Kluyveromyces lactis: one gene and its partners. The protein of the gene in region 6 purifies or fractionates together with the protein of the main gene of each other region. This does not show direct contact. Links are inferred from orthologs where the notes say so. Each region holds a gene or a part of one and is shown on either strand. Other genes may lie near its edges. The genes, in order: RPN8, RPT2, RPN7, RPN6, RPN2, NAS6 and RPN13.

Region 1 (3,001 bases), on a different chromosome or scaffold from region 6:
AACTAAACCCACGCCCCGATATTAAAATACTGGATAAGTTGGGGTTCAATGCCCTCATAAGTAGAGGCTGGATTACCAGTGACATACTCAATCTTCAACTAGCAGTTGATGGAATATATTATCTTGGTTAACTGGGCCTCGGTCTGGTAAATACACTGTTGTCTCAGAATGGTTTTTACCTTCAAAATTGTGCGCAATGAACAATTTCCTCGATCTTTAATCTTCATAAAATTTTCTTATATGAAGAGATGCGAATTTGATATATTAGAAGGAATCAATCTGAAGAGGTTGACGAGAACTAACGAACCGGTACCGGAGATCCATTTAATTCATTGATCAGTTCCATATCGATGCCAATGGTGCTGATCTTAGATATAGACATACATACTGCTTCATTTAAATTCTCATTAAATTTTTAGGAAATATGGCGTAGTTGTAACTTAGTATACAGAAAATACTATATTTGATTATTTTCGTTTCGGTTTATTAAAAGAGTTGCATCAGTTCTTAGTAGGTACCGAATTCGACTCAGCAGGGATGCCGTCATTAGTGGCATCCTCCTTTTGTTCTACTTCAACTTTCGAATGCTTTTCAAGAAGTTTCTTATTTTGAATTTTGTTCTCAATCAAGTTATCAAATGCAACTATGGCTCTGACCAGATTACTTATGTAAATGATCATTAGTTCGTCATTGGTTTTAACTGTGAGGGCTTTTTCCAAATTGTTGGTAACATTGTCTAAGACATGACTTGAGCCGATCATTTCATCTTTATCTGGGGTTCCGAGGTTTGGAAGAAGATTGAAAATGTCTTGCAATTTTCCTAAAATTATGTGGTTCACAGGTAACTCGTTGTTTGCCACTTTTTCCAAGTATGCTACTATGTCTTTCAATTTTCTTTGCAAGCCCCTAAGAGAATTTAATTGATTAGTTAGCTTTATAGATAAACCAGCTGCAGCTTGATCACGGACATCTTTGAGTAGATGTTCAACACCAATTTCTTCCGCCTCGTCTGCTTCCACAGTGCTTGGGATATGTATAAAGGTCCGCTCAGTCGAAGTACCATCATCCTTGATCTGTTCCACAGCCACATATGCGTTCGTTGGTAGTCCGATATCCTCTTGTTTCACATCGAGTATCAACAACACGGGATTATTGTTGGTACTGTACTTCTTGAACAACTCGTTAATCTTTAAATCAGAAGCCCTTAATTTCCCACCACTGTGATACCAACCAATTAGCTTCTCTTTCGCATTGATCTTTTTACACATCTCGTTCATGGTCTCGATGTAGTTGTGATCTAGGAACCAAACGTCTGGATTCTTCTCGTCTTCTTCGAACGGCAACGCAAACGAATTAGTTATCCTCACGGTTGCCGTGGAACTATCACCTAGAATGACACCTAAACATCTCTTGTTCTCCGGAGTATTTGTACGCTGATGATGGTCTAATACGGAAAGTAACACCAATGGTGCAACTGAAACTTGTTCGTAAGGTACAGACATTATCAATTGGTTGTTGCCAAGCTGTTTCCAATTTATAGTTTGATTTCTATTCTCTTAGCTTATCAGAAATGCAGATTGACTAAGCACTTTTTTTGACTCTCTTTTATAAGTAAACCCCAAAACGCTAGATTGGTCACGGTAATTCAATTAGTACAATCTCAAAGTATTATCACAGTTTCGCTTTCAGGAGTGTATAGATCTTCAAGTGCCCCATTATTTCAGGTATTTTTGTCAAATTAATATTTGCCACTAATGTTCTTAATGCTATTTCATTTTTTTTATTTTCAAATCTCGAAATATTAGGAACTGCGAAGCGAACATAATTCAATGCTTAATATTAAAAAGATTCTGTGCAATGAGATGAGATGAAAGGACATGTTTATACGGTTAGGGAGGAGACAAGACGGCTTACGGTTTGTACGAAGACCTTGGGTATACTCTAGAAAATAAATATAAAGATGCCATTTGGCCAAATTGTGATTGGACCTCCAGGGTCTGGTAAATCAACGTACTGTCATGGTTGTTCCCAGTTTTTCAATGCAATCGGAAGACATGTTCAAGTGATAAATATGGATCCAGCCAACCATCGGCTCCCGTATCCGTGTTCGGTCGATATTAGAGACTATATCACGCTAGAAGAGATTATGTCAGAACAGCATTTGGGTCCGAATGGTGGGTTAATGTATGCGATAGAGTCTTTAAATGAGTCGATCGATTTGTTCATATTGCAGATCAAATCGTTAGTACAAGAGGAGAAAGCATACCTAGTCTTTGACTGTCCCGGGCAAGTCGAATTATTCACACACAATTCGGCGTTGTTCAAGATTTTCAAACGACTAGAGAAGGATTTGGATATCAGGCTATGTGTTGTGAATTTGATCGATTGTATTTACATTACTTCTCCCTCGCAGTACGTTTCGATCCTTCTACTTGCACTAAGATCGATGCTAATGATGGATCTTCCACACATCAATGTCTTCTCAAAGATCGATATGCTAAAGGGATACGGAGAGTTGCCTTTCAGATTGGATTACTTCACGGAGGTCCAAGAATTGGAATATCTAAATCCACTTATTGAGAAGGAAGGGTCGGGTGTATTAGGGAGAAAATACTCAAGGCTCACTGAAACCATCGGTGAAATGGTCTCTGATTTCAATTTAGTTTCTTTCGAGGTCCTTGCCATTGATGACAAACAATCGATGATCAATTTACAAAGTGTTATAGATAAAGCGAACGGATACATATTTGGTTCGAGCGAAATAGGAGGAGATACAGTATGGGCAGAAGCTAGTAGACAAGGCGCAGCCATGGTCAACTACGACGTTCATGATAGATGGATCGAAAATAAAGAGACGTATGATAAACTAGAAAAGGAAGCACGTGACCAGCAGCTCAAAGAAAGGGAAATGCAAGCAAAAGAGATCGACGTCAACGAAGACGACGAATGGGAATCGGCGCTCAGGGAATGGGAAGAAAAACAAGGCACCAACTATGTTAGG
Region 2 (3,038 bases), on a different chromosome or scaffold from region 6:
ATGGAACTTATCCAGTTATATAGCTCCTTGAAAAGACCACAAAGTTTTGTCAGTCCTTAAATATGAACTAATTGAACTTTTATCAAAAAAATTCCAATCAATAATGCAGTTGTTAGAAACGAGATAAGGAAAAAAATTGACAATAACTAATTGTGCTTTCTCTCGCAATCACAAGTCACAGGTTTCTTCACCTCGTATATACTGCAAGGCTCTTGTTAGTTTGCAGTTTATTTCTACTCATCTCATTATACTGTTGTCCTTTCAATCTTTAAAACATTTAAAGTTCAACTTTTCGTAATTTCTATATTTATCGTTTCCCTCTATCTGCCCGAAAAGTTGTGAAAGTGTAAAAGGTTAAAAATACAAACTTAGATTGATAAATCATTGCATAAATGTTGGCGGCAGGGAGATTGAATTTGGATATGTGAAGATATTAAAGATATTAAACTGTAGTATATATATATATATATATATATATATATATGAAGATTAATCCCTACTTATAAGTACAAACCTTCCAAGTTTTCTTCAACCTTATTTTTGAGTACACGTTCTTTTGCTTCCTTGAAATCTTGTGCTGTGACTTGCATTCTTCTTTCTCTTAGAGCCAAAAGCCCCGCTTCTGTACACATTGCTTTGATGTCTGCACCTGATAGGTCATCTTTTGAAGTGACCAAATTATCTAGGTCTACGTCCTCTGCTAAGTTCATCTTAGATGTATGAATACCGACGATTTTTCTCTTTGTTGTTATATCGGGGTTTTCGAACAAAATCTTACGGTCGATTCTTCCGGGTCTGATCAAAGCTGGATCTAAACTTTCGATTTTGTTTGTAGCCATGATGACTTTCACATCACCTCTATCATCAAACCCGTCCAATTGGTTTAAAAGTTCCAACATAGTTCTTTGAATCTCTTTCTCACCGCCACTGTTTGATTCATATCTCTTGGTACCAATAGCATCGATTTCATCGATAAAGACTATACTTGGCGCATTCTCTGCAGCGACTTTGAAAATTTGTCTACAGAGTCTTGGACCGTCACCTAGATATTTCTGAATCAATTCGGATCCCACAATTCTTAAAAATGTAGCAGAAGTCTGGTTCGCCACAGCCTTTGCCAATAACGTCTTACCTGTACCTGGAGCACCATACAATATGACACCCTTTGGTGGTTTGATACCCATTTCTTCGTATAGTTCAGGATGCGTTAGTGGCAACTCGACTGCTTCTTTAATCTCTTGAATTTGTGCCTCTAATCCACCGATATCACTGTAGTTTTCTGTTGGTGATTTATCCATCTTCATCACAGAAACCATTGGATCGGCATCGTCTTGCAAGACACCAACAACTGACATGGTCTTATGGTGTAATAACACAGAACAGCCGGGTTCTAATAGCTCTTTGTCAACAAAGGACAAAATGGAAACGTAGTAGTCTGGTGTCGTAGGGCTTGTCACTATAGCATGGTCATCGTCCACAATTTCTTCTAAAGTACCAATAGATAACGGAGTACCTCTGATATCGTCTAGCTGCTTCTTTTCTTCCTCTTGTTTCTTCTCAAATGGTTTCAAGATCTCAGAGTTTGTCACATACTCTTCTTCCAATAGCAAATGATCTTTTATACGTTCCATTCTCAAAAGTTTTAACTTACATCTTGTGCTTGGATAAACGCTAGGAAGTTTCTCCACCGTAGAGGGCCCCTTTCTCTTCTTTCTACCGAATTTTGATTCTACTGGTGGCTCATATTTTGGCTTTTGTTTCTTATCCTTTTTCTTCTGCCCATGAGAAGAAGCTCCTTGACCCATTGTTCGTGCTGTAACTTAACTTATACCTTGATGCCTTACTGCCAGCTAATAGTTCGTGCCTCAATGCAACTCGATAATTGGACGGTAACAAGCTGATATACCTAATGTTGTGCTGTTAGGCGTGTATCTTGTAAAGGTTGATCTTTAATTTCGCCACTGGCTTTTCTAATATTTAGTTATTCCAAATCCTGACTTTTGATATAAAATGAAATAATAACAGATGAAAACAGTTTGAATGCTGTGAGTTGGCAAGAAAAAGGTGAAGGAAAGTAGCATCAATACTGCATCTTACCATCGGTATAAGTCTCTATCTTACTAATTTTAACCATGAATGATGACGATGGTGCCAAGCGTGGTAATATCAATGAACTAATCCAACAATTTTTGAGTATTATTCCTGAAGAATTTTTCGAAGAGTATTATAGAAAGAACAGCGATCCTAAGATCAAAGACGAACCGGTTTCTAAATCCAAGGGGACCAGTGCAAATGCTAACAAGCCCACAAAGGGACAAATTCTAACGCAGGCGGTAGAATACGTGAATTCGTTACAGGAACAAGTCGATCTCAAGAACAGAGAAGAAGTCGAGCTGATACTAAGAGTTAAAGAATTGTGCAAGGAAACAGGGTACATTGTCAACGATTTGAACCTTGATAACACAAGCGCGGAGTTAGCGTTGTCCAGAATCGGCGTTGGTCCGTTAGCTGGCATGAGGGAGCAACCGAACAACAAAGGATCTAAAAACCAATTTGCCGGTACCAGTGCCGGAGCCAGCATTGATGCTGCCGCAGGAAATACCACTAGTAAAACCCCTGGCACCGCTGCCATGTCACCTGTGCCGCCAACAGGTTCGGTTGGTCCAGCAGGTATAGCAGCAGCAGCGCCAAAAGAAGGACCCAAGTATAGATTCGAATACGGTGGTTATAGTGAATACAACAATGAACCCTGAAATACAATAAAGAACCAAGTCACGTGTCATGATTAAGTCACGTGATACTATCACAACTGACGAAGAAAACATGGTCCAGCTTCGAATTTTTTCTAAAGCGAAAACACGAAACAAACTAAAACCCCGAAGACATATTTGAAAAGAACATGGCAACCACCTAATTATACCGGGTAGTGACGACCAGCAGACTTATCCGGCGACAGTTTCAGACATTTGGATCCGTGCGCATCCTTGATTGTTGAATTCTAGGTACAAGAGGTGGTAGAAGAGGCGTTGTTTCTCTCT
Region 3 (3,099 bases), on a different chromosome or scaffold from region 6:
ATCCGGTAACTCCATCAGGAAGTAATCCAGGAAGTAGTAGTCTCCTCTCTCCTCTGTTCGTTTGCGTCGTTAACACATACTACCCTTATTTTCTCGTAGTGTATCGTACTAAATCCTTACACTCGGCCTCTGTTGGGTAGCGCTGCGACCTCTGTGCACTTTTCTTGGTTGTTTTGCTATTTGCTTTGCTATTAAAGCAAAACCTTTACGGAACTTCCTATGAACCCGTTAAAGAAGACAACGTTAAATATCCATTTCCAGCCCATAGCAAAAGACGTAACTGGCGATCAGAATCCGGTATAGCGATACTGAGAATTGTAAGGTGAAGAGGTCTAAAATGAGGGTAGCCCTAAGAGTCTTTGAGGCGCATTCTTTTTCGGTTTCTCATTACAAAGCAAAAGATTAGTGTCTCGACCCTATCGTTGGTTTTATCATCGCATCGAAATAATACTTGTTCGAGCTATATACTCTGTATAATTACTATACTGCTACTACTACCACTATATTATACGATCGGTGCCTGTAAGCTTAACAGCCGCACCATACTTTTGTAGTTTTGTAATCAATCCATCACCCTGTTTTACGAGAAGTTGGTATTGAGCGTTCTTGTTATCTGGCCGATTTGTCTCTACTATACCGTTGACACGGTCGATGACACAGTTGAGTTGTTTCGTTGGTATGAATTTGCTTAGATCTTTGTCTAAGAAATCTTCAGAGACGCCGAATGCACCAGCCATCGATTTTATCGAGAGCGTCTTGTAAGATTCCAATAGTTGAGCGTAAACCATTCTTCTCATTTCCCTTACAAAATAATCGGCGTGTTGGTTCAAATATTTGGAGGGCAATAGCACTTTGTCGTAGGTCTCTAACAAATATGGGAAATAACTTTTATATTCGGAAGTGTAAAGTGAAATGGAAAGGGAGGATATGGATTGTAACGCTGGCGTCGTTGTCATCAACGCTAGCAAGTCAGGCGAATCGATAATCTTTTCCTTCAAATCAGTCCTTTCAAATGCAAATAACCCAGTAACGAACGCGTAGGTAGCGATGTTCTCATACGAGGTAAGCTCGGTAGAAGTGAAAGTGGCTAACGATTCGACTAGTAAGGACGCAGCGGTCTTGAAATCTCTGATGGCCATCGAATGGATCCCCTTATAAGTCTTGTATCTATTTCTTCTTTCCCAATCACCACCTTTCTCAATCATCGCATTGACTCCTTCTAGCTTCTGCTTCACGTAATGCTGATCGTTGTAGAAGAATCCAAGTCTGGTTATAGTTAACATGATATCGATCTTGGCACCAGTAGACACAGCTTTATCCAAGGCCTTGGTCAACGTTTCCTCGGCGTTGTCTTTATCACCAATCTTTGCATAATACTCACCTAAATTGATCCAGGATTGAGCCTTCTCCAACTCACCTTCGTCTTTCTCTTCAATTTCAGTTAAATGATCCTTTAACTTCTTAATCTCTTCTTCGTTCTTCGCCACTAACGAATCGTAAAAGGATTGATCCCACTCAATGGCTCCCGAGGGTAACTCTTCGCACACATGTTTATAATATGGAGCCATATGATCTTCTCTGATCAGTTTCAACAAAGCATCCCTTGAGGCTTCATGTAGATGAGAGAGATTCCCTTGTCCAAGGACAAAAGCATGATCGGATGCCTCGTAATTTGGCACACGATTCACACTAGGATCCACGTATTGAACTTCAGTATCTTCAGACATAACGTTTGTTTCGAATTGTAACTTCCCTGGTACGCTAAAGCAGCTTTTGATGCCTTGTTCCCCTCTGTTTGATGGTGGCAAATGATTGTGTTCTTCCTATATTAGATGTGTTTAAGTCTTAGTTCTTACAATTTGTTAACGAATTACTTACCCGGATATTCACACATATACCGAAAGCCTGTGAGCCTTTCCTCACAGGATCCAGTAACCTTAAGATGTCATTGTGCAATGTACGCTGTACTACGTATTTCTATCCACGCATATGTACATACTTATATGAAGCGGTCTCTTGAAAACACGCCTTCTTTCCTTTAAACATAGTTTCTTTGACGATCTTTGAACATGAAATGGACGACGGTAGCTTGTAAAGTACTGATACTGGCCATGATACCCATTGTCAAAATGGATAGCCATACAATACGGGACTCTGTAGATTGCACAGTCGACATATTTCTCCATTCTCTGGCTCTCAGGTAGTCCATCATCTTTCTGATCTTGTTCAAGTTTCTGTCGATCTCTTCGATTGCATTGTTCGTGATCACATCCTCTGGATTCTCCTTCTCGGACCCCATAGTCCTCTTTTCCAATTCTAACGTAAGTTCAACTTTCTTCAGCGCAGTACCGTGAGTGTTTGTGAAACAGAACTTGTATTGACCGATACCAAACGATTTCAATAGGAAATCAGAGTATTTCTTTTGTTTCTCCGAGATAATGACGGATCCATCTGGGGAAGTGATTTCGAAATCGATTTCAAAGTTGCCACCAGTCAACACTTGGTAACCTACCACTAAGGCGTCGTCAGCAGACATCAAGTCATGGTATAAACATTCTTTTGAGAATGCAGGTAATGAAATCGCAAATGGTGCATAGTTACTGGATTCTGCCGCACAGAATCCACTGATAAACACCAATAGAACTGAAACAATAGAGTATAGCATTATTATATCCTCGTTCCTCGCTCAATTGACTTGGTAATAGCGATATATAGTGGTCTTAAGTAGCATAAAGGTAAACAGATAACCAATTTTGATTCAAAGAAGAGACGTGTTTTATTTCGACGAGTTAACACTGAACAAATTCGAGTTTTTTTTTTTAGTGTTTGAGGGTGGGATCGTGTTTTTTGTCAGTCACGTGTGTGGATGCTCTATTGTATGGTGGCAAAGTTGTCAAAGAAAGGAACATCAAAATTATATAGGGCGTGTGGTCTAGTGGTATGATTCTCGCTTTGGGTTAATAGCCTAGCGAAGCTTCGATAAACGAAGTTTAACTACTGCAAAGCATGCGAGAGGCCCTGGGTTCAATTCCCAGCTCGCCCCAATTTTGATTTTTTTTTCCTTCTACTACTAGCCAATTAGTATCTGCTACACTCACC
Region 4 (3,097 bases), about 1.3 Mb from region 6:
TTGATAAAATTTGCAAAGTATTGAAATACATATCGGAAAACGATTCTCAACTGTGTGATCGTATTTGGATTTACTGTGCTACTAAAAAACCAGCTTCCCTTTTTGGTGGCAGCAAAGCCGCCAGCACTGCTCACGCAAATAAAGTTGTTAAGAACATTATTTCTGGCCAGAAGAAAAGAATAAACGGGACAATGGTAACACCTGAAATGTTTGATAATGTGAGAAAACCCAATCGTGGTTTGTTTGATGAATTTCTTAAAGATTCTGACGAACAATCGGACTCAATTGAACTTTTATTTTACTGCGGGGATGCTGCAGGAAGACCAAATGATTTTAGTGACAGTGACAAAGAGTTTGCTAAAATATTGGGCGTACCTTTCAAGGTACCGGAGGAATACTTTATTTGAATTTCGAATGATCTTAAACCTACGTAAAATATATTTATTTACTAAGTTACTTTAATGATTGAAGGATGAGCGTATTATAATGAATTTTTAATTTTAGTATAATACAGCGGCTTTTTCAAAGAGTTGTTCTACAACTCCATTGAGTTGATTGATCAATTCTAACGAAGAATCATAAGTGGCATCCTGTTGTGGTGTCTCATAAATATAAAGCCATCCGTTTCCTTGGTCAAGCACACCAAAGAAAACTTTGTCTAAAATCATTTGTGAAAGTTTGCCCTCTACTTGTTGAGCATCAAGCCCGATAATCTTTGAGATATGCGATACTTCAACACATTCGAATGGTTCGATGATCTTACTAAGATTTGATTCCAAAAGGGTGTCGTATAATGCATTGAAATGTGATCTAATGAGTTCATCGCCCATCAATTCTGTCTTATAATTTTGCATTGCTGTATTGAACTCCAGTAGGGATCTATTATTATAAGCCTCAGCGACTGCCTTCATGGCGTCAATTCCGCGACTTTGGTAGGTCTCCTTAGTATATTTGGCGTTCAAGATAGTTTTCACTTCATCAATCAAATTAAGCATGATCTTTGAAAGAAGCATATACTTTAGCACTTGACAAGCTTTTCCGAATGTGTTTGAGCCAGTTTGGCTGTGGAAGGCTTCAAAGGATTCATAAAAGTATGAGAAAGCAGTCTTATAATCTTTGTCTTCACAGTGTAAGATACCACTCATTAAATCCAATTCTGCCATTGTCAATGTTGGACAATAAATCGAATTTGCGGATGTTCTAGCACTTGTCAAAGCAGCCTTTGATTTAGTCAAATTTCTTAATTTATGGTACACTTTACATTCCAATAGATGAACTTCGAGCAAAGACGATTTATCGTCCAATTTCTTAAACTGCCTCAACAAATCATTGATCAATTGCAAGGATTCGTTGTAATGCGTCTTTTGGTAGTAAAGAGTTGCCAACCTAATCGATAGAGAATGCTTTAAAAAGATTCTCTTCTCCTTTGTGGCAAAGTCGATCGAATCTTCGCATATCTCGATTTGGGTATCCAAGGAATCGGGTATCAATTCGAAATCGTTAAGTAACGTCTTTAAAACTTTGGCAATCTTTGATTTCGCTACTTTCATCATGTATTCACGAGAGCGTGGTACAAACTCGGCGAGTTTCTTCAACTGATGTGTGGTACCATACAATTGACCTAGCTCAAGAATACATTGTTCCTTTTCTTGAGCATCTTTATTGCTAATTGATTGGGGTTGTGCGGCATCTTGATGGTTCAATACTGCTAAGAACTGCGCTTCAGCCTTCTCATAATCTTCCTTCCCTACAAGATTTCTAGCTTCTTCCAACGACATATCTAAGTGGGATTATTTGCTTTCTTTCCTGTTCCTTTCGTAGTTTAACTTCAGCTTCTGCTAGACGATCTCTGGCAGGTGTAGCGCCAATTGTGTCTACCTCGATGTTTTCGGTTTGCCACCTTATTTAATTTACTTTAACTATAATCTCTTGGACAAGATTATATATATCATTCTACTACAGAAACTGGTTCAATTCAAGGCGATCATTTGGTACGTAACTTGAATAAGGGTAGACTATTCACGTGACTTATACGTCACGTGAATCGAAATTAGATTTCCTTTACTGTCCTAATCTTAGCACAGATACATCCGCACGAAAAAAAGGAAAAATAGTCGCGTTTCGTCCTCCGTGATGTGTTTACCATTCCTCGAGAATAGCACGTGAAAGACCCTTCACTGCATTCACTTCAGCCAATCTTTAAACTCCTCACTCTCATCTGCCGCATATGCTGATCGGTACTGGTAATCCACATCCTCAGGTTCATTGTCTCTCACATGTTCTGCAGCAATTACACACCTGTAACTCATAATTTTCACCTCAAACACCTAAAATCACCTATTTGTAGATATCTGAAAGAAAAAAAACTTAATTTCACTGAAAGCTCGGTATGGGTAAATATTATATAAATATATTTGAAATAATAGTATGGATGAAATTAAACAGAGACGTGTTCATTTTGGCAAGTTTTGGGTGGAATAAACTTAGGTTTTCTTTTGCAGATAGAGGTATCAGTCGACCAGTATCTGTGGGAAACTTAGATAGGAGCTAGACAATTTCAATTGGGACCTTTGAACTGGAATTGAATTTTTGAATTGGTTTTTTTTTGTTCTCTCTTCTCAAACATTTAGTTACCATTTCCAAGGCTTTTTCGAAGTGAGAAAACATCTGTTGTCTGTATCTGTATCTGATCTGATCTGATCATTGATTGTATTTCTCATTGTAAAGGTATCTCAGTCTCACTCTCTGTTTGATTTTGTTGTAGAAAATGGGTAAGACTAAGACCTCTACTAAAGTACAAGATTGTGTTCTCGATGTTGATAGCGTTGGTGACATTCAAGTTGAGAAAGGTCCATTGAGACCTTTCTTGGTCACTGAGCCACCAAAGAATTTGAAATCTATCCGTACGATGACTTCTAGTAAAGAACGTTTGGTTGTTATTGCATTGGCTGTTATCGCATCCGTTGTGAGACTTTGGAACCTTTCGGATCCAAATTCCGTTGTTTTCGATGAAGTTCATTTCGGTAAATTCGCAGCTAAATACATTAAGGGTATCTTCTTTACCGACGTCCATCCTCCGTTAGCTAAGATGCTTTTT
Region 5 (3,994 bases), on a different chromosome or scaffold from region 6:
AAAATTCAAGAGAATCCTCGACTTTAAATGAAGATGGTAATGGGGCATATATATCTTTTGTTTGTCTTACGGTCTTGATTAATTCTAGTGGTTCTTCAGGTGTCTTATCCTCAACGATAATGACACCTGAGTTTCCTCTGAATTTGCGAACAGGTACAAAACGGCTATCTTTCGCAAAAGATATGAATTTGAGTTGCTGCGGAAGCACACGGGTGAGGTTTTCAACATCATAGCTCGTTGTCGTGTATTTGATCTTAGCTTCTTCAGTATTCTTGGCCTCTTCCTTCTTTTTTTCCTCCAGTTCCACCTCTTGCTTTTCTTCATTTACTTTTTCTGCATCCTTTTCTTTAACCTTTTCATGTTCTCCTTTTTTACCTTTCTTAGCTCTTGCCTTGGCCTTGGCGGTAGTTGACAAGACGGCAGCTGCAAACTTTTCTATATTTTTGTCCACCTCTTCTTCGTACATGCGAGGATAGGTGAAAATTCCCTCCTTCGTATGACATTTGAAAGCAAATTTAGGAATTGCCAAATCGCTAGCACGCAAACCCACTAAGGTAGTTGGAGTGAACGAAAGCGATAAAAAGTGGGACAATGGGAACCAGTACCAAAATTGGGAGAACATCATTAAACCAATTATTGATCTACTGTTCAAAGTTCCCATTTCGGTGTTCTCCAATTCGATGGTTACATTCCTACCACCAGCGTTCATGATACCTTGGGCAATACAGGCACCGAACTTTGCTAGTCCTTCCTGGTGCTTGTTTCCAATTACTGACATGAACTGTTCATTAACTTCCTTCACCTTTGAATTCGTTTTTTCAGTCTGCTGAATCAATATCATTGAAGTGGCAATCATAGCAGCTTGACGAACATAATCAACTGGATCCTTCAAAAGAGGTTCTAATACATCCACAGCTGCCTGTAAGCCTCTACCAGCGCAGGATACACCCAAAGCGAACGCAGTACCACAACGGACATGAGCGTTATGTGATTTTGACAAAAGTTCTACGATTCTTGGGACGGTAGTATATTCACGAATTAACACGAAACCTAGGGCAGTGACTGCTGCCCTTCTAACATCGTCGTCGGAGTCCGAGACTGCGACGTGAAGAAGTTTTTTCACAGCCTTATTATTTCCGGTCCCTGCATGGGCTAAGGCGATTGTGTAGGCACCACCATAGCGTAACAGGGCGTTCTCACTGGCTAGTAACTTATCAATCAAGTCGTCAGCTAGTTCCTCTTTGCCGTAATTTATGAGAGCTAAGGCAATCGATAAACTTCTTGTGATATTACCGTGTTGAGTCTCTTCTGCGTAAGTTAACAAGTCCTGAATAACAGTTTGGTTACCTGAACCTAGTAAAATTAAACCAATAGCCAAAGCAGCCGCATCACCAGATTTAGCTGAGTCTCCATATAACACTTCTTTCAACATCTCACAAACATTCACATCGTCCGAGCCCATACCTGACAACCCAATACCTAAACAAGCACCATGTAGCAACACATCTACATCCTCTTCTCCAACGGAAGAACTATTAGCTTGAATTTGCTCTTTTAAGTAGTCAGTTGATTCCTTACCGTAGCCGGCAAAAATTAAACCTAGACCATATAATGAACCACCTTTGATATACCTCGATTTTGAACCATTTCCTGGCAAATAAGGCTCCATTATCTTTCTTCCATCTGAGAGGTTGCCTTGGTGAATAACACCTAGTGAAGCAGTAGCGGTAAATTTGGCCCAGTTTTGGGCTTTGCCTAACCATTGTAAATTTTGTCTGATAAAACTATCATCCGTAGTCCCTGCGTGCATAAAAGCATTGGACACACTCACAGCTGTGTGGAATAAGGAGAATTTACCATCCAAAGATGATTTCATCTTATTCAGAAGAGCCTTGTCTATGGTTTTGTTCTCAAATAGAAAAGTGTTTTGCAAATCGCAGGTGGGTATACCGGAAAGGATTTCAAGTAACTTAGGATCGTATACATTGGCGTCCAAGGAATTAGAAAGATCCTTCAATAATCCCTGAGAGGCTGAGTTTACTAGGTCAAAAGCGATTTGGTAGGAAACATCATATGATTTAGTTGAATTTAACTTGAAGAAGAGCTCCTTGGCAAATTCGATATCATTTAACTGTACGATAATTTTTGAGATAATAAAGTAGTCTGGGGCAGGCATGTTCATGACAATTTCATACAACTTCTTCAATACGCTCAATTTAAAGCGAGTATTGGTTAATGCAGTGGTACATACAGCCAATGTGTAAGAGCACAATTTGAGGGCATTAGTACTGGTGTCCTGGGAAGTGAGAAGCTTCTCAACAACATCAAGTCTGTAACTTTCTAATGCGATTCCCAATGCAAGTTTATACTCCCCTGAAGAAACACACTTCTTCAACATTCTCTCAAAGATAGAAACCAAATGTGGATCAATTTCAACAGGTTCCGATTCGTAGTTACTAGAAGCAAATTCAATATACATTTCGATACTCTGTGACACAATCGTTTCGACATATTGCGACTGTTCATCGATATTCAAATACTCTCCTGCAGCTAGGGCATACTTAACCGCTAGTTGATATTCTCCAAGGTTATAATACACTTTTGAGGCCACAATTGCTGCTAGTCTACGATCAGGAAAGGATACATCATCATACAATGCTTCTATTTCGGTAATATCATTTGATATCTCGGACCACTGTTGATCTACCACGTCTTTAATTGATTGTAATGCATGAGTCTTAACAGTGTTGTCAGATTCCTTCAATAACGCCAAAAGCGGCAATGCAGATGTAACTGACATTCTGGTTGAGTTTACGGCTTTAAATACCTTAAGTCTCGATGTAACCTGGTAATGTGCAGATGTGGTGCGAATAGTAAATGACTTTATTTATATACTTTTGAAGCTTCTGTTCTAAAGTTTGCCACCGTTTGTCAAATTAAATCAGAAACCATACAAAAACTACCCTAATCGTATAGAATGATTTTATAGAGCCTCTTCAAGAATATGCTCTCCACCTCCATCAGGAAATGTGCTTTGCAAGATAGTCGCAGTTGTCCAGTTGATCAATATTGCACCATTTACAAAATCGAGAAGCACTATTATCATGCATACAATATATAATTATACGTTCTATCCTTTATCTATACCGATATTATAATTGAAGTGAAAAGCAACTAAGTTGAATTAGTATTCTAACATAGCATTTTAATATAGTAATCTGATTGAAATCTTGTAGTCAGTTTCGTTCAACTCATCGTATATTTGTTTGATATCACTTTGGTTAACATTTGAAATATCAGCCATCAAATATGCGATGTCCCCGTTAGAATCAGAGAACTGCTTTTCGATGTTGTGGTTGGACAAGATGTTGTTGACAGTTTTCAAAACACCAGGAACATTTTGATGGATATATAGTACACGTACAGTGTTTTCTTGATCCAGATCTAATGCTCTTAATGAAACTTCTGGGAAGTTAACGGCACCGACGGTGTTACCTTCGTTGATGTATTTCGTTAGTGCAGTAGCCACTTCGATACCAATAGAACTTTGGGCTTCTTCAGTAGACCCACCAATGTGTGGAGTCAAGATAACATTTGGTAAGGAGACCAAATCAGTTGTCCATGTGTTCAAATTATCACTGAAGGCACCAGCACCATTCTTAGCAGGTTCATTTGGATACACATCCAAAGCGGCACCGGCAATCTTGCCCGCTCTCATTGCTTGAATCAAAGCAGGAATATCAACCACAGTCCCTCTAGATGCGTTGATAACGTATGAGCCATCCTTCATAGCAGCAAATTGAGGACCAGACAATAAGTTTTTAGTTTCTGGAGTAGCTGGAACATGACAAGTCACAAAGTCAGAATTGTTCAACAATTCATTCAAAGTAGAAACCTGCTTAGCAGTACCCAAACTCATAATAGTGACAATATCATAGTAGAGAACGTTCATACCAAGAGCTTCAGCCAAAACAGATAATTGAGAACCAATATG
Region 6 (2,369 bases):
AAATGCTTAGCACGACGCACCAAGTTTTCCCTAATCAATCTAGAGACACGTTCTCTTTGGGTAATCAATTGAGAAGCATTAAATTGGGCAACCACCGCCTTCAAAACTTCATTCACGATACTGGGAAGCACTCTTTCATCGTAATCAACACCGAGAGTACGGTAAATCATTGGTAAATTCTCTACGTTAGGTCTGGATAGCACTCTACAGGTGATGTTAACCATCTGTAAATCCTTAGTACCGGTCAATGACGATACATTTCTTGGCTTGGCACGCACATCGTAGACGACCGGGTTTTCAACCCATGGAATGATAAAATGAGTACCTTCTGGGTAAATTCTCGGTTGAACACCGTTGATACGTGAATAAACAATGGCACGGTGACCACCATCAACGTTGAAAAGAGCTTCGTTAGCCAAAAATCCACCACCAATCAACAAAAATAAACCACCTAAAGCCCCAAAGGCACCACGAGGAGGCTGTCCGGAAGGATATTTACCACCTGATTGTTGTGCACGAGCCAATTGTCTTTGTACAGATCTGGCAAACTTACCAAAATCACCTGGATATCTGTTCATTGCGTTCTTTTGATTAAATTATAATAACTTTGCGGGGGGTAAAAACACAGCTTTTGTTTCAAATTTACAGCCAATCAGAAAAGGGCAATGTGCGGTTATATATATAATATTACTGCTGCGATTGTCGTAACCTCCTAGTTCCTTTGCTTGAACCCTTTCCCTTTAAGCAATTTCAAACAACGAACTGAGTTGCTCATTTCTCACTTTGCCACTTAACATCTGAGAAGGGGCGACATCCCCGAAAATATGTTTGTCACAATGCACGGATCACGTGATAAAACATCAACACTCTAGCCTCTGCTCATGGTGGTATAGCCAGGCACCGGGAAGTTGAATGTTATCTGAGACCCATAAGTATCCTATTTAGTACTTAAAACCTGTCAGCTTTCCAAATGTGTACCCAGATTTCGTCCAGGTGTACCAAGTCTTTCCACTGCCGTTTCTTATTTCTTTGATATGAGGTAAAAACCCTTTAAAAAGGGTTTCAACTTAAAGACAGCTTATTTCATACAAGCGTTGGTTGGTCAGAACCATACAAGAGCTGTCCTGGGATCAGTGTATTTGTAAAACATTGAAAGCACAATAAACAATTCAAACTATGGGTGCTGACTTTTTGTTACATGCTGCGTGTATGAACGGAGATACCGAAAAGGTTCAACAGATATTAAGTGAGTTTCCGGGCGCAGTGAAGGTTAAAGATGATGATGGCCGATATCCTTTGCACTGGGCAGTATCATTCCAGCAAGACAACATAATTGATATATTGTTGTCCTATATGAAGAAAATTGATTTGGACACTATTTTGGATGAATCTGGTTGGTCTCCGGTACACATTGCTAGTTCTATCGGTAGCGTTACTATTCTTGAAAAGTTACTTAATCATACTGTTGAACCAAACCTTGATCTACAGGCTAATAATGGGATCACTGCTTTACATTTAGCTTGCTCTAAGAAGCATTTAAATGTGGTTCAACTTTTAGTGGAAAGAGGAGCTTCAGTGAGAATTAAAGATGGCCTTGGTCAATTGCCTTTGCATAGAGCTGCAGCTTCCGGTTCAGTGGGAATTGTGTCGATATTATGCGATAAAAACTCTCCTGTTAATATAAAGGATAAAAACGGATGGTCTCCTTTGTTCCATGCTTTGGCAGAAGGTCACGGCGATGTTGCTGTCACGTTGGTCAACAAGTATCATGCATTATGGGAAGGAGAAACCGACAACGATGACTTGTCCATAGATAAAATCTGTGTTGACGCAAAAGTGAAGGATTACTTTTTGTCAAAGGTTGAATGATTTATCCAATTCGAAGGGGCTGGTAGTTAATGTATGCTTATATACCTGAAACAGTCATTAAATTGAGCTTATAACGATTGATGTGTAGAAGATTCTAAAAAAACAAAATGCAAGATTAAATAAAATTGGCTTCCCTATCAGCAGTTTCGGAGTTTTCATGGATGACCAATTCTTCCTTATATTGAATACCATTAATACCAAGGTCACGTTGTTCATGTTCACTGATTGTTCCATTGGTAGAACCAATCAAAAATAAACCATGGCCAAGAACTTGATCAACCAACTGTAGGGTTATATCCAACAAATTTATAGGAAGGATCATTCCCAACAAGTTATTGTTGTTAGCAAAAATAACAGCATCCTTTATGGACATGGTACCTGGGTCACCATAAATAATGTCTTTAGTATCGAGTGCCATGGACGCTAGGTCATTAGATGTAATTTTCACCAAATCACCATCACTATTCTCGGAAATAACATTCATATCGAACAACACAGGG
Region 7 (2,435 bases), on a different chromosome or scaffold from region 6:
TGAAGGTGGGAACGATTTAAATTTGGTATTTTCGTCCGGCTTCAATTTTAAATCGTTTGCATTGGAGACTGGATAATTTGTTGTCATGGCATATAACGACGTACTTGTGGCCATTAATTGAGGAGATACAGAATCCGTCAAAAGCTTACCTGTAGCCTGGTCGCGAGTCAAGATTGACTCGAACCCGAACGGATCAATCCTGTTCCTTTTCTGCAATGAGCCGATTTTTTTCGTCACTGAATGTGATGCGATGAACTTTGAAAATATGCTCATCAAGGCAGTAGCCTTTTTCATGATCAATGATCTTTCGTTAGTGGCCATAAAATTTGCTTGAAGTTGAATTCTGACTGCATCTAACTTGTAGTATAAGTCGACCATCTGATCCACGATTTCAAACTCACCAAATGAGTAAAGATAATAAATATGTTTTGTTAATGTGAATAAATTTAACAAGATTTCACGATTTAGCGCATATCCGTTTGCAACGAAAAATGGATATGGAGGTGGAGTTTCTCTTGAAACTTTCGAAGCACGCATTAATTGATACAAACTCGGTAGTTTTTTGAGTCGACCATCCTGTTGCTCTAATTCAGTACCAGTGGGGAACCTCAAGAATGCATAGTTCTCGATCTGCTCGTCAAAATCCAAATGAACAAATCGTCTGGGGAAAATCACTCGTTGAATTTTCTGTTTCGGTAAATTGTCAGTAACAGATCCCATATTGCTCATGAAGTCGATTGGCATTAAATCATTGCTAACATAACCACGGCACCATTTTCCATCCTTGGTCTGTTCCATAACAAAAACTTCATCGCCAGGATACAGATCAACATAATCCGATGATTTCAATACTAGCTCTGGACACTTCTTTAATGGAAGAAACGCTCGGGCAACAGTCCCTGGAATCAATCTATCAGTGGGGATCCATTCGAACTGTCTCAGTTCCGTGTGGTTTGCAGGTGTGTCGCTACTACCATTGGCAGTAGCATCATTATTCGATTTCGTCATTCGTACAAAAAACCACCACTAAATCAATAGTTGTGACGAAAATAGTTGCAAGAGATATCCGAAAACTAGCCAATTGTATCTAGAATTCCGAGTGCATTCACTGATCGGTGTTAATGATGTTGTACAAGTCCAACCCAATGTGCATTCACTTAGTTCTGAATTAAATATCCGTTCATGATGTGATGATTTCTACCATCTTAGTCTTTCCAAGCGGTTTCATAAGAAATTTTTCATAGAAAAATACTACCATATCTTGGTCACATGATTAAGCCTACAACATTATTCTTTTAAGGAAAATATGAACAAATGGCGTCAGCAGTGGCAAACTGTTTAAATAGGACCTACACACACGAAGATATCAATCATAGAACATCTGAGAGATTGTCAGACCAGTGGTATAGGTTTAAAAGAGGAGAGAAGAATATTGATATGACAGAGGCGATCAGTTTTAGGGCAGGAAAATGTGATTATGATGAGGAGAGTAAAATTTGTACGCCGAAGCAGATGAAGGGGGAGATCCAGATCAAACCCAGTGAAGAAGCGCAAGGGTTTTTCGATTTCCAATGGAGCACTAAGGATCGAGTCTCAGGGTCAGCAGTGGAACCAATTGAGTTTATTTTGATTCCCGGAGAGACGAAATGGATCGATATAAAGTCAGCTAAGAACGGCAGAGTGTTATGTTTACTCTTCTCTACTGGTGAGAAATGGTTTTTCTGGTTACAAGAAAAGCACCAAGGCAATGAATCGTTGAACGAATGGAGTGAAAAGGATAAAGAGTTACTTGCTAAGCTTCAGAAACTGTTGGAATTTGAAGAGGAAGAGGAAGAGGAAGAGGAAGTCAAAGAACAAGAACAAGAACAAGAACCGGAAAAGATGGAAATTGACCCTCAAGACAATGAACAGCCGAAGGCCGACTCCAATCCGTAAGTATATACGCGTTGTACATTACTCATTTTGAAGCAATAGATCAAAAATAAGGAACTGTAAACAGTATTTGAGATTTGATAGGCATTTTCAACGTCCAACTCTCCTTCTTTTCAGATCTGTTATTTCCAAATCATTACGATTTTATCATTACCAAATTAAACTATATTTTACTAATACTATGTCCTAGTACCATCCGTATAAACCATCTTTCTGATTTCCTAACTAAAGATATGTTAGTGAAGTATATTGGATCTCTTTCTGAGGAGTCTACCGAATTCAAAGAATTATGTAACTGTTTGCCTGAGGATGTCGAAAAGGGAAAAGAAAACCTTTTGAAATGTGTAAGAGGTCCATTCTTTCAGCAAGCAGTTGACATTTTGGACTTAGCTACGAAGCAGAGCTATTCGGGACAACAACTCTCACAAATGTTTGGATATTCGTATACCGGAGAAGGACCACGAGCTCTACTGGAAGGACTTAGAAATAAGGGCCTCCAGGAA

What was found.
Region 1: the proteins of NAS6 (region 6) and RPN8 purify together in Saccharomyces cerevisiae (affinity purification with mass spectrometry; 5 studies listed by BioGRID, with this or other methods). This does not show direct contact. The link is inferred for Kluyveromyces lactis from reciprocal best matches to the Saccharomyces cerevisiae genes NAS6 and RPN8.
Region 2: the proteins of NAS6 (region 6) and RPT2 purify together in Saccharomyces cerevisiae (affinity purification with mass spectrometry; 3 studies listed by BioGRID, with this or other methods). This does not show direct contact. The link is inferred for Kluyveromyces lactis from reciprocal best matches to the Saccharomyces cerevisiae genes NAS6 and RPT2.
Region 3: the proteins of NAS6 (region 6) and RPN7 purify together in Saccharomyces cerevisiae (affinity purification with mass spectrometry; 3 studies listed by BioGRID, with this or other methods). This does not show direct contact. The link is inferred for Kluyveromyces lactis from reciprocal best matches to the Saccharomyces cerevisiae genes NAS6 and RPN7.
Region 4: the proteins of NAS6 (region 6) and RPN6 purify together in Saccharomyces cerevisiae (affinity purification with mass spectrometry; 4 studies listed by BioGRID, with this or other methods). This does not show direct contact. The link is inferred for Kluyveromyces lactis from reciprocal best matches to the Saccharomyces cerevisiae genes NAS6 and RPN6.
Region 5: the proteins of NAS6 (region 6) and RPN2 purify together in Saccharomyces cerevisiae (affinity purification with mass spectrometry; 5 studies listed by BioGRID, with this or other methods). This does not show direct contact. The link is inferred for Kluyveromyces lactis from reciprocal best matches to the Saccharomyces cerevisiae genes NAS6 and RPN2.
Region 7: the proteins of NAS6 (region 6) and RPN13 purify together in Saccharomyces cerevisiae (affinity purification with mass spectrometry; 3 studies listed by BioGRID, with this or other methods). This does not show direct contact. The link is inferred for Kluyveromyces lactis from reciprocal best matches to the Saccharomyces cerevisiae genes NAS6 and RPN13.

What each region holds. Positions count from the first base shown.
Region 1 is NC_006039.1:826,610-829,610, reverse strand, and holds RPN8 (proteasome regulatory particle lid subunit RPN8), read right to left. Parts: upstream 1,503-3,001; coding exon 501-1,502; downstream 1-500. Other genes in the region: COX10 (protoheme IX farnesyltransferase), read right to left, coding at 1-85; GTPase GPN2, read left to right, coding at 1,961-3,001. UniProt on the Saccharomyces cerevisiae protein: Acts as a regulatory subunit of the 26S proteasome which is involved in the ATP-dependent degradation of ubiquitinated proteins.
Region 2 is NC_006042.1:1,360,731-1,363,768, reverse strand, and holds RPT2 (proteasome regulatory particle base subunit RPT2), read right to left. Parts: upstream 1,806-3,038; coding exon 501-1,805; downstream 1-500. Other genes in the region: RTG1 (Rtg1p), read left to right, coding at 2,133-2,753. UniProt on the Saccharomyces cerevisiae protein: The 26S proteasome is involved in the ATP-dependent degradation of ubiquitinated proteins. The regulatory (or ATPase) complex confers ATP dependency and substrate specificity to the 26S complex. Has ATPase activity.
Region 3 is NC_006040.1:1,236,818-1,239,916, reverse strand, and holds RPN7 (proteasome regulatory particle lid subunit RPN7), read right to left. Parts: upstream 1,728-3,099; coding exon 501-1,727; downstream 1-500. Other genes in the region: ERP4 (Erp4p), read right to left, coding at 2,039-2,665. UniProt on the Saccharomyces cerevisiae protein: Component of the 19S cap proteasome complex which acts as a regulatory subunit of the 26S proteasome, involved in the ATP-dependent degradation of ubiquitinated proteins.
Region 4 is NC_006041.1:136,878-139,974, reverse strand, and holds RPN6 (proteasome regulatory particle lid subunit RPN6), read right to left. Parts: upstream 1,779-3,097; coding exon 501-1,778; downstream 1-500. Other genes in the region: TPP1 (polynucleotide 3'-phosphatase), read left to right, coding at 1-407; dolichyl-phosphate-mannose-protein mannosyltransferase PMT1, read left to right, coding at 2,768-3,097. UniProt on the Saccharomyces cerevisiae protein: Component of the lid subcomplex of the 26S proteasome, a multiprotein complex involved in the ATP-dependent degradation of ubiquitinated proteins. In the complex, RPN6 is required for proteasome assembly.
Region 5 is NC_006039.1:807,379-811,372, forward strand, and holds the start of RPN2 (proteasome regulatory particle base subunit RPN2), read right to left. Parts: upstream 2,801-3,994; coding exon 1-2,800. Other genes in the region: KLLA0_C09306g (uncharacterized protein), read right to left, coding at 3,206-3,994. UniProt on the Saccharomyces cerevisiae protein: Acts as a regulatory subunit of the 26S proteasome which is involved in the ATP-dependent degradation of ubiquitinated proteins.
Region 6 is NC_006041.1:1,406,002-1,408,370, reverse strand, and holds NAS6 (Nas6p), read left to right. Parts: upstream 1-1,176; coding exon 1,177-1,869; downstream 1,870-2,369. Other genes in the region: prohibitin subunit PHB2, read right to left, coding at 1-578; PHO81 (Pho81p), read right to left, coding at 1,985-2,369. UniProt on the Saccharomyces cerevisiae protein: Acts as a chaperone during the assembly of the 26S proteasome, specifically of the 19S regulatory complex (RC) and appears to have an overlapping role with RPN14.
Region 7 is NC_006040.1:245,012-247,446, forward strand, and holds RPN13 (proteasome regulatory particle lid subunit RPN13), read left to right. Parts: upstream 1-1,314; coding exon 1,315-1,935; downstream 1,936-2,435. Other genes in the region: guanine nucleotide exchange factor DCK1, read right to left, coding at 1-1,008; KLLA0_D02904g (uncharacterized protein), read left to right, coding at 2,166-2,435. UniProt on the Saccharomyces cerevisiae protein: Component of the 19S cap proteasome complex which acts as a regulatory subunit of the 26S proteasome, involved in the ATP-dependent degradation of ubiquitinated proteins.